2 linked regions of the Bombyx mori genome follow. The protein of the gene in region 2 purifies or fractionates together with the protein of the main gene of each other region. This does not show direct contact. Links are inferred from orthologs where the notes say so. Each region holds a gene or a part of one and is shown on either strand. Other genes may lie near its edges. The genes, in order: THUMP domain-containing protein 1 homolog and RNA cytidine acetyltransferase.

Region 1 (3,367 bases), on a different chromosome or scaffold from region 2:
TTGTGAGCCCGCATGAGCTTGCTCCGCTTTTTCTGCCGTGAATCAACTGGTGGAGTTGGAATAGCCCTTTGACGCTATCAATAATTGGGGAGGGGAAAAACAAAAATGAATCTAATCAGTGCTCCCCAATTGCGCTATCCGAATACTGATACCATAAATAACTCACGTCACGATTACTGGCGGTAGGACTTCTTGTAAGTCCGCGCGGGTAGGTACCACCACCCGGCCTATTTCTGCCGTGAAGCAGTCATGCCTTTCGGCTTGAAGGGTAGGGCAGCCGTTGTAACAATACTTGAGATCTTAGAACTTATATATCAAGATGGGTGGCGCATTTACGTTGTAGATGTCTATGGGCTCCAGTAACCACTTAACATCAGGTGGGCTGTGAGTTCGTCCACCCATCTAAGCAATAAAAAAAAACGTCCGAAGCACTCTTAACCCTTGTCGCTTGAAGGTCGGAAGAATGTTTTTTCTTGTTTCAGAAATTAATTATTTCAAAATAACCAATGACTAAGAACTCCCAAATTATTTGTTACAGAATAACGGTATGCCCAAAAATGAAAAAACCTGTCGTCAACAATCTGCCAACGGTCATGAAAACGAAATACTGCAAGTTCTAAGAAAATTAAATGAACCACATTACAATAGCAATGCAATTGTTAATTTATTAAGTCTACGAAAAGTATTCTTTTAGTATTCTATCAATTAGATTTAAGCACATGTTGGATATTTGAACTGTTAAGGAAATTAATACGTAATTTAATATTTAGATTACTTTATTAAAGTGTAATCAAACAAAAACATATTTTGCTTTAATTTTTCGTATTTTACAATGTAGGTATTGTTTAAGCCTTTAGAGAAATCGTTTCTAAAGCAGAGAAGGGAAAAATATATCACATGTCAATGAAATAAAGAATACTCTTTGAATCAAGTTCAATTTGGCTAAATGCTTTTTCATTTAAATATTTACAAAATACATACCATACTATTAAAGAGAAAACTTGATTAGTCTCAGGGACCTACCTACCTATAATGAATCTGAGAAACGTTTTATTTGCTATTCGTATAAATTTTTGAACAGAAAAACTATTCAAAGATGGTTCCGTGGCGAATACAATAGTCGACTGTAACTGTATCAGTCTGTATCAGGTTCTGTCTAGGCGCCGTTACAAAGTTAATTCTTTCGTGATTGGTTCTATGATAAATACGCATCCAAATCCCTCTTCGATATGTCAGCTTATTTTGAAAATGTTAGTGCGATTCAGAATCCTGTCAAATATGTTATATTCTCTAAAAGTTAGGGAAAAAAATATCAAAGAACATTTTTGCGCTAAATAGGCTCAAAAGCTCAGCTACCACTTGCCGTTAGGAAAATGTCAAAACAGTGACAACTTTGACCAGTGACACTTGCGTTTCAAGCGGTTTGTTGGAAGGTTGGATGTTGTTGAGTTAGTAATTCAATTCAATACGTAACATAATAATCTGTTATATCATCCATACTTATAAAGATCGATTGCATAGTTGATTCGGTGCATTCAACATGGGTGACACGAGGAAAAAGAAGAAATTTTACTTTAGGAAACGAAGAAACAAATATTTCTTAGAACCCGGCTTCAAGGGCTTCTTTTGCACGTGTAACTTTAGAGAAAAAGACTGCGTCAAAGAAGTATATAATCTTCTGAACGAATATGCCAGTAAACTCTACCCAGATTTAGATGTGGAGCAAGTTCCACCGTCTGCAGTACCTGAGTCAGACGCTCCCGAGGATAGGTCCGAGAGCGAGTCTGAAGATGAGACTGATATTGGAGACATACTAAGAAGGGAAGTGGATTCAATAAAAAAAAATTCGCAGAAATCTTTACGGTTTAAAAGATTTCAAGTGGTTGAAACGGGTGCATCAAATTGTATCTTTGTTAAAACCAATTTACCTAGTCCAGAGGAACTGACCACCGCCATTATAAAAGACCTAATCGCTACACGAATTCAGAAAACCAGACATGTGATGCGACTGCTTCCAATAATGATTACTTGTAAAGCAAACCTTCCGGACATAATGGAAAGCGCTGGAAAACTTTTTGATAAGTATTTCTTAAAAGAACCAACTAGCTTTTCTGTAGTTTTCAACAAAAGATTCAATAACAGTGTATCCCGAGACTTGATCATCAAAGAGCTTGCGGAATTAGTAGTTGTAAAAAACAGGGAGAACAAAGCTGACCTCAAAAATCCAGGTCTCTGCATTATAGTTGAAGTTATTAAAGGAATGTGCTTGCTGAGTATTGTTGATAACTACTTTACTTATAAAAAATATAATCTTAATGAAATATGCAAGGAAGAATCAAATGATTCTGAAGAATCACAGGCAAAAAAATTCAAGAGTAGCTTGAACTGTGAAACTGAGGAACAGAATACTCAATAAATCTACATATTTCCCTAGAGTTTTTCTACATTAAATTTTTTTCTAACCTATCCCTAGGTTGCTGCGCCTGGAAGCTTATACCAACTCTTATACCAAATTTTCTACTTATTATAATATTTTTCATTAAAGTTTTAACCCTAATCTGTGTATTTTTTCACCTTAATTATGTTAACAATTACTTAGTTTTACAATAACCTATGTTATATTAAGGTTTTTACAAGATTATGTAACAAGAGAACCGCTTAATGCTGTGGCATTGGTTACATAACTGGCTGAAGGCTTAGTAGGTCACTTTGTGCCTCAAATTTATAGATAAGACTCTGTCATAAAAGTAAGTATATTTTATACTAGTTATGACCACAAAATGACTAATGAGCTATGACTATCTATCTGTTTGCTTATTAATAGTTCAAGTTAATAATTTGGACTGAAGAAAATTCTACTCCTGTAATGGCAATATTACTTTATGCCTTTATCAAATGATTTAGTTACATGTTGTATCGAAAGATGGCAGTATGCCATAAAATACTCCATGCTTCTATATAACTTCTGAAATATAATTTCTCTACTAAGTATTTTAATGTTGTTTTAGATCCTTCATTGTTAAATGGATAATTAGAAGTTTTTATTGGTAAGAGGTTTTCAATCAGATCAACAGCGTTATCTACTTGAATTTCAATCACCCATAGATGTCAATACGTACTAAAAGATGAAAAAATGAATTTGCTACACAGATGCAAATAATTAAACTAACTATCTTTATAGCAAACATTTAAACAGTGAATCTTATTTTACACATCAAAAATAGTGAAAAGGGTTTAAAAAGAGGTTGAAATGGATTTCTTTTTGCTATACCTATTTTTTGTTTCTGTTTGTATTAAGTAATAAAAATAAGTAGGTTCTGAAATAAAAATAAATAAAAAACCAAGTTAGTATAACAGAATTTTTTTT
Region 2 (4,439 bases):
AATTTTATCTCTCAAAATTCATAACCATTTTGTTGGCCTCCATTGTATTCATCAAAATAATATATAAATTACTATTAAAATTTCAAAAATCTATTTGTTACCTCTGGTGTAGCATCTACAGGGTCGATTTGGGCGGTTTTGGATGATATCGGCAGAACCGTCAGTGAATCATCAAGTACCAAACATCTAGGGTTATCTGCTAGAGACAATAGAAATCTTTCATTGAAACGATTGACCACTGTGTCATAAGCTTCAGTTTTGAATCTGTAAATTAAATATAAATTTTATTTTATTTCTCTTAAAAGTATTATAAAATTTATTGTGAAAATATTAAATTAACTAAAATTGTAGTTGTCACTGGACGTTTATACTGTTCTCATGAGATTATAATGATATGGTATTTAAATGTAGTAGGGCAATTTGCATTTTAATTGGGATCAATTATTGTAGAGCAACTCTTCAAGAGAGCTTGTCAATTCGTGTATATAAATAATAATAATACAAATGGCACAACATACTTTATTTAAAAGTTATTTTTTTCATTACAGTATTGTATTAGAAACTAGAGACCCGCCCTCGCCTCGCTTCGGAAACTGTAATTTATTATTGATTTCTCCACTATTTAATGGATATTATTATAAATATAAACCTTCCTCTTCAATCACTCTATCTATTAAAAAATACCGCATCAAAATCCGTTGCGTTGTTTTAAAGATTTAAGCATACATAGGGATATAGGGACAGAGAAAGCGATTTGTTTTATACTGTGTAGTGATTATATAATATTATTATAGATAGTATAGATATGTATTTAGTTTCTTATATAAGGTACTCACAAAACGCCCTACCACCATCACTAGTACCTAATTACAATTTTGCCCCTATGTATGGACAGACAGATATAGGGACAGAGAAAGCGACTTTGTTTTATACTATGTAGTGATTAAGAACAGAATAATACCTTGAGTGTACATCCATTGTTATTGAATGTAGTTGTCTCAGAGAATCCATGGTTTTAAGTAAGAATATTATAAGACCACCCCCTTCTACAGTTTCAATTGTTCGTGCCATCAAATTGGGGGTGAGAGCTTCAAAATCCTAAAAATAAACGTCATATACATTAAACCAAAAATTTGACCTCATGTCAGATCATCATTGGTTTTTGTCTTTTTATATTGCTTAGATGGATGGACGAGCTCACAGCCCACCTGGTGTCAAGTGGTTACTGGAGCCCATAAACATCTACAGCGTAAATGCGCCACCCACCTTGAGATATAAGTTCTAAGGTCTCAAGTATAGTTACAACAGTTGCCCCAACCTTCAAACCGAAATGCATTACTGCTTCATGGCAGAAATAGGCAGGGTGGTGGTACCTACCTGCGCGGACTCACAAGAGGTCCTACCACCAGTAAAAAATTAAAATTTAATTTAAAAATTGAAAGTTTTTTTACTGTTTGCATTTTACCATGAAAAAATGTAGTTACTGGATGGTAGCCAATAACCAAATTTTACATGAGCCACTCTAGTTTTTGGTGTAGCTTTATATGGCATACCTTTCAAAACATGTCTTTTTAATTTGTAACTTACTTGCAAAACGCAAACTCCATATGTCTGACCGAGCATTGCATGACTTTCTGAATAATATCTACCGTGAATAGTAGTGGCCACTCTGAATGCATCAAACAGTGATTCTTCGGAGACTTCCAGTTTTCCAGCTGCTATTTTCTTGGCTCTTTTACGACCATGACTAAAAGGAATTCATTTATAATCAATATTCTTAAAGTATGAAATCATGTATTGTTTTGGGTAGTTAACTATTGTTACAATACAATTGTCTAAAAATTGTTACTTACTTGCTAATTGCTTCATCTTTGTTCTTATAGCACCAGAGTACTGTTGGCCTAGCCTTTACTGTCGATTTGACTAACATATCATATAAAATGGGCACCTGAAATAAGTTTTTTTAAGATTTTTTGTTAAATTGATTTAAAATGCGATTTGCGTGACACGTCTTGCTGGATATAGATAGCTAATGTACCAATTGTTCTGATTGCAACTTGATATCTCAGTTGATCGAAGCTCAGGCAGGAATAATTGTTGTGGTGTCTGAGAAATTTTAATGATAGAAATGTTTTTTTCTCACAGAAAAATTAGTTACATTTAGAAATATAATATGTGCATCACAAATTTTAATACCGTACATTTTCATAAATATAAAGCCAATATTCAAATATCAATGTAGATATGTATTACAATTGTATTGTTTTTAGATACTTAAGTTTTAAAGACAGGAAAAGTACATAGGTACTTGTATACTGTGTACTTGTATCTGCTTAACATGAAGTCTTTAATTTTATCACCATGCTTATTTTATTATTTGAAGAATTTTTCATTTACCTGATCTCTGCTTTTGTCTCCAATGAGAAGAAACATGGTGCGATGGCCAAGTTTAACTCCATTCTCTATCATAACCCTGATACGATTATCAATTTTCTTTTTCACCATTTTCGGATATGTTCAATCAAATCTATTAAACTAGGTAGCGTTAAATATTGTTTAAAATTTTATAACCTAAAATTCAAAACAAAAGCACACTTCATGTTATTTGTTTGATTGATCTAATAGACAGGCAAAGACAATACAGCCCATACTACCAAGACTTATTACAAAAGCTGAAGCCAAGCTTATTAATGTAAGGTAAACTAAAAGTAGACGAAACGAGATTTGAAGATATAAGTAAGGCGAGACTAGACTAGACAAGCTCGGACTAGACTAGACCAGAACAGGCTAGGCCTGACCAGGCTAGGTCTAGACCAGACTAAACTAGGCTAAACTATATAATTCATTCGGTTAAACGTGTCAGAATGACCCATAGTAAAAAAATAGTGCAACCAATTTCGTATTATAAATACGACAATAATTGCAAAATAAGTTTACAAGGCTCTTTCAACATTTTTTGCTAAATTTAATCTTATAGGGTGCGTTCCACTAAGCGTTCTCAACGAACACACTCACGACCGCAATTTTTCCCGTTCCACTTGCTTGTGAGCGTTACTGTCATAAACTCAAGTGGAATGGATTAAAGAGCGTTTTGAGCGTGGAGATAAATAATACAAAGGGTGAGTTAACAAAAAGATTTAAGAGGTTAGGTTATACGAGGGCGGCACTGAAAATTTCGGGAATTAACGAAGTGACACAACATTACTATTTAAAATTGTATTTATTGCTTTTCGAAGTATTCTCCGTGAAATTTGACACATTTTTCCATACGATGAAACCAATCATTGAAGCAACCATTCCATTCCGAAGTTGGGGTCTCCAAAATGGCCGTTTTGTAGGCGTCCACAGCTTCTTCAGGTGATGAAAATCTCTGTCCACGCAATTTATTCTTTATTTTAGGGAAAGTATAGAAATCATTAGGGCTTAGGTCGGGGTTGTACGGCGGATGGTCCAATAATTCTATGTTTTCTTGCTCTAAAAACTCTTTTGTTTTCTGCGCGGTGTGAGAACTCGCATTGTCGTGATGGAGGATGATGCGGCGGTTGCAGTTCTCTTTACGGAGTTCAGAAACGACCTGTGGCAAACAAATGCTAGCATACCATTCTGCATTAACCGTTCTTTGTCCCTCAAGAGGAATAGTCGTAACATGGCCGGTTTTGGAGACAAACGTGGCCACCATTTTTTTTGCAACACTCCGTGAACGAACAATTTTTGTTGGCTTTAACTCATTTGCGAACACCCAAACTCGTGACTGGTTTTTTGTTTCGGGTTCGTACGCGTATATCCAGGATTCGTCACCTGATACAATGTTGTATACAGCATTTGAGGATCCTGCGTGGAATCTTTCGAGAGTTCTGACGCACCAAGTAACGCGAGCCGCTTTTTGCTCTTCACAGAGCGAATGCAGTATCCATCGTGAAAACAACTTTTTTACACCTAATTGTTCATGCAAGATTATTTGTATTTGACTCATGCCAATGTCTAAAGTTGCCTGAATTTCGCGGTATGTCACATGTCGATCTTCCTCAATCAGCTTACGCACAGCATCAACGTTTTCTTGGGTGACTGCAGTTTTTGGACGACCTTGACGGGGATCATCACTGAGTTTGACACGTCCACGTTGAAACTCAGCAAACCAGCGATAAATTGTGGTTTTGGATGGGGTTTCATCACCAAATGCAGAAATCATCCGGTCAACACACTGTTTTTGTGTTAAACCACTTCGAAAGTCATAATAAATCATCGCTCTTGAATTTTCTCGAGTCAATTCCATTTTCTCAACGACTAAACAAGTTTGACAAAACCTCGTGACAAGACCGAGAATCTTTTTTTAAATAAATAAATGGTATTCGATTTTTAAAACCAAGGAGTTTTCAATTAAAAAGATTTTAATATGACAGGAACAGTGGAAATATTCCATTCCCGATACTTTTAGTGCA

Evidence for each region.
Region 1: the proteins of RNA cytidine acetyltransferase (region 2) and THUMP domain-containing protein 1 homolog purify together in Homo sapiens (co-immunoprecipitation; 3 studies listed by BioGRID and IntAct, counting the BioPlex papers as one, with this or other methods). This does not show direct contact. The link is inferred for Bombyx mori from reciprocal best matches to the Homo sapiens genes NAT10 and THUMPD1.

The regions. Positions count from the first base shown.
Region 1 is NC_085128.1:7,272,231-7,275,597, reverse strand, and holds THUMP domain-containing protein 1 homolog, read left to right. Parts: upstream 1-1,382; 5' UTR 1,383-1,540; coding exon 1,541-2,416; 3' UTR 2,417-2,557; downstream 2,558-3,367. Other genes in the region: pancreatic lipase-related protein 2, read left to right, coding at 539-620. UniProt on the Homo sapiens protein: Functions as a tRNA-binding adapter to mediate NAT10-dependent tRNA acetylation modifying cytidine to N4-acetylcytidine (ac4C).
Region 2 is NC_085120.1:8,061,400-8,065,838, forward strand, and holds the start of RNA cytidine acetyltransferase, read right to left. Parts: upstream 2,841-4,439; 5' UTR 2,506-2,840; coding exon 2,398-2,505; intron 1,949-2,397; coding exon 1,854-1,948; intron 1,748-1,853; coding exon 1,588-1,747; intron 1,099-1,587; coding exon 962-1,098; intron 265-961; coding exon 102-264; intron 1-101. UniProt on the Homo sapiens protein: RNA cytidine acetyltransferase that catalyzes the formation of N(4)-acetylcytidine (ac4C) modification on mRNAs, 18S rRNA and tRNAs.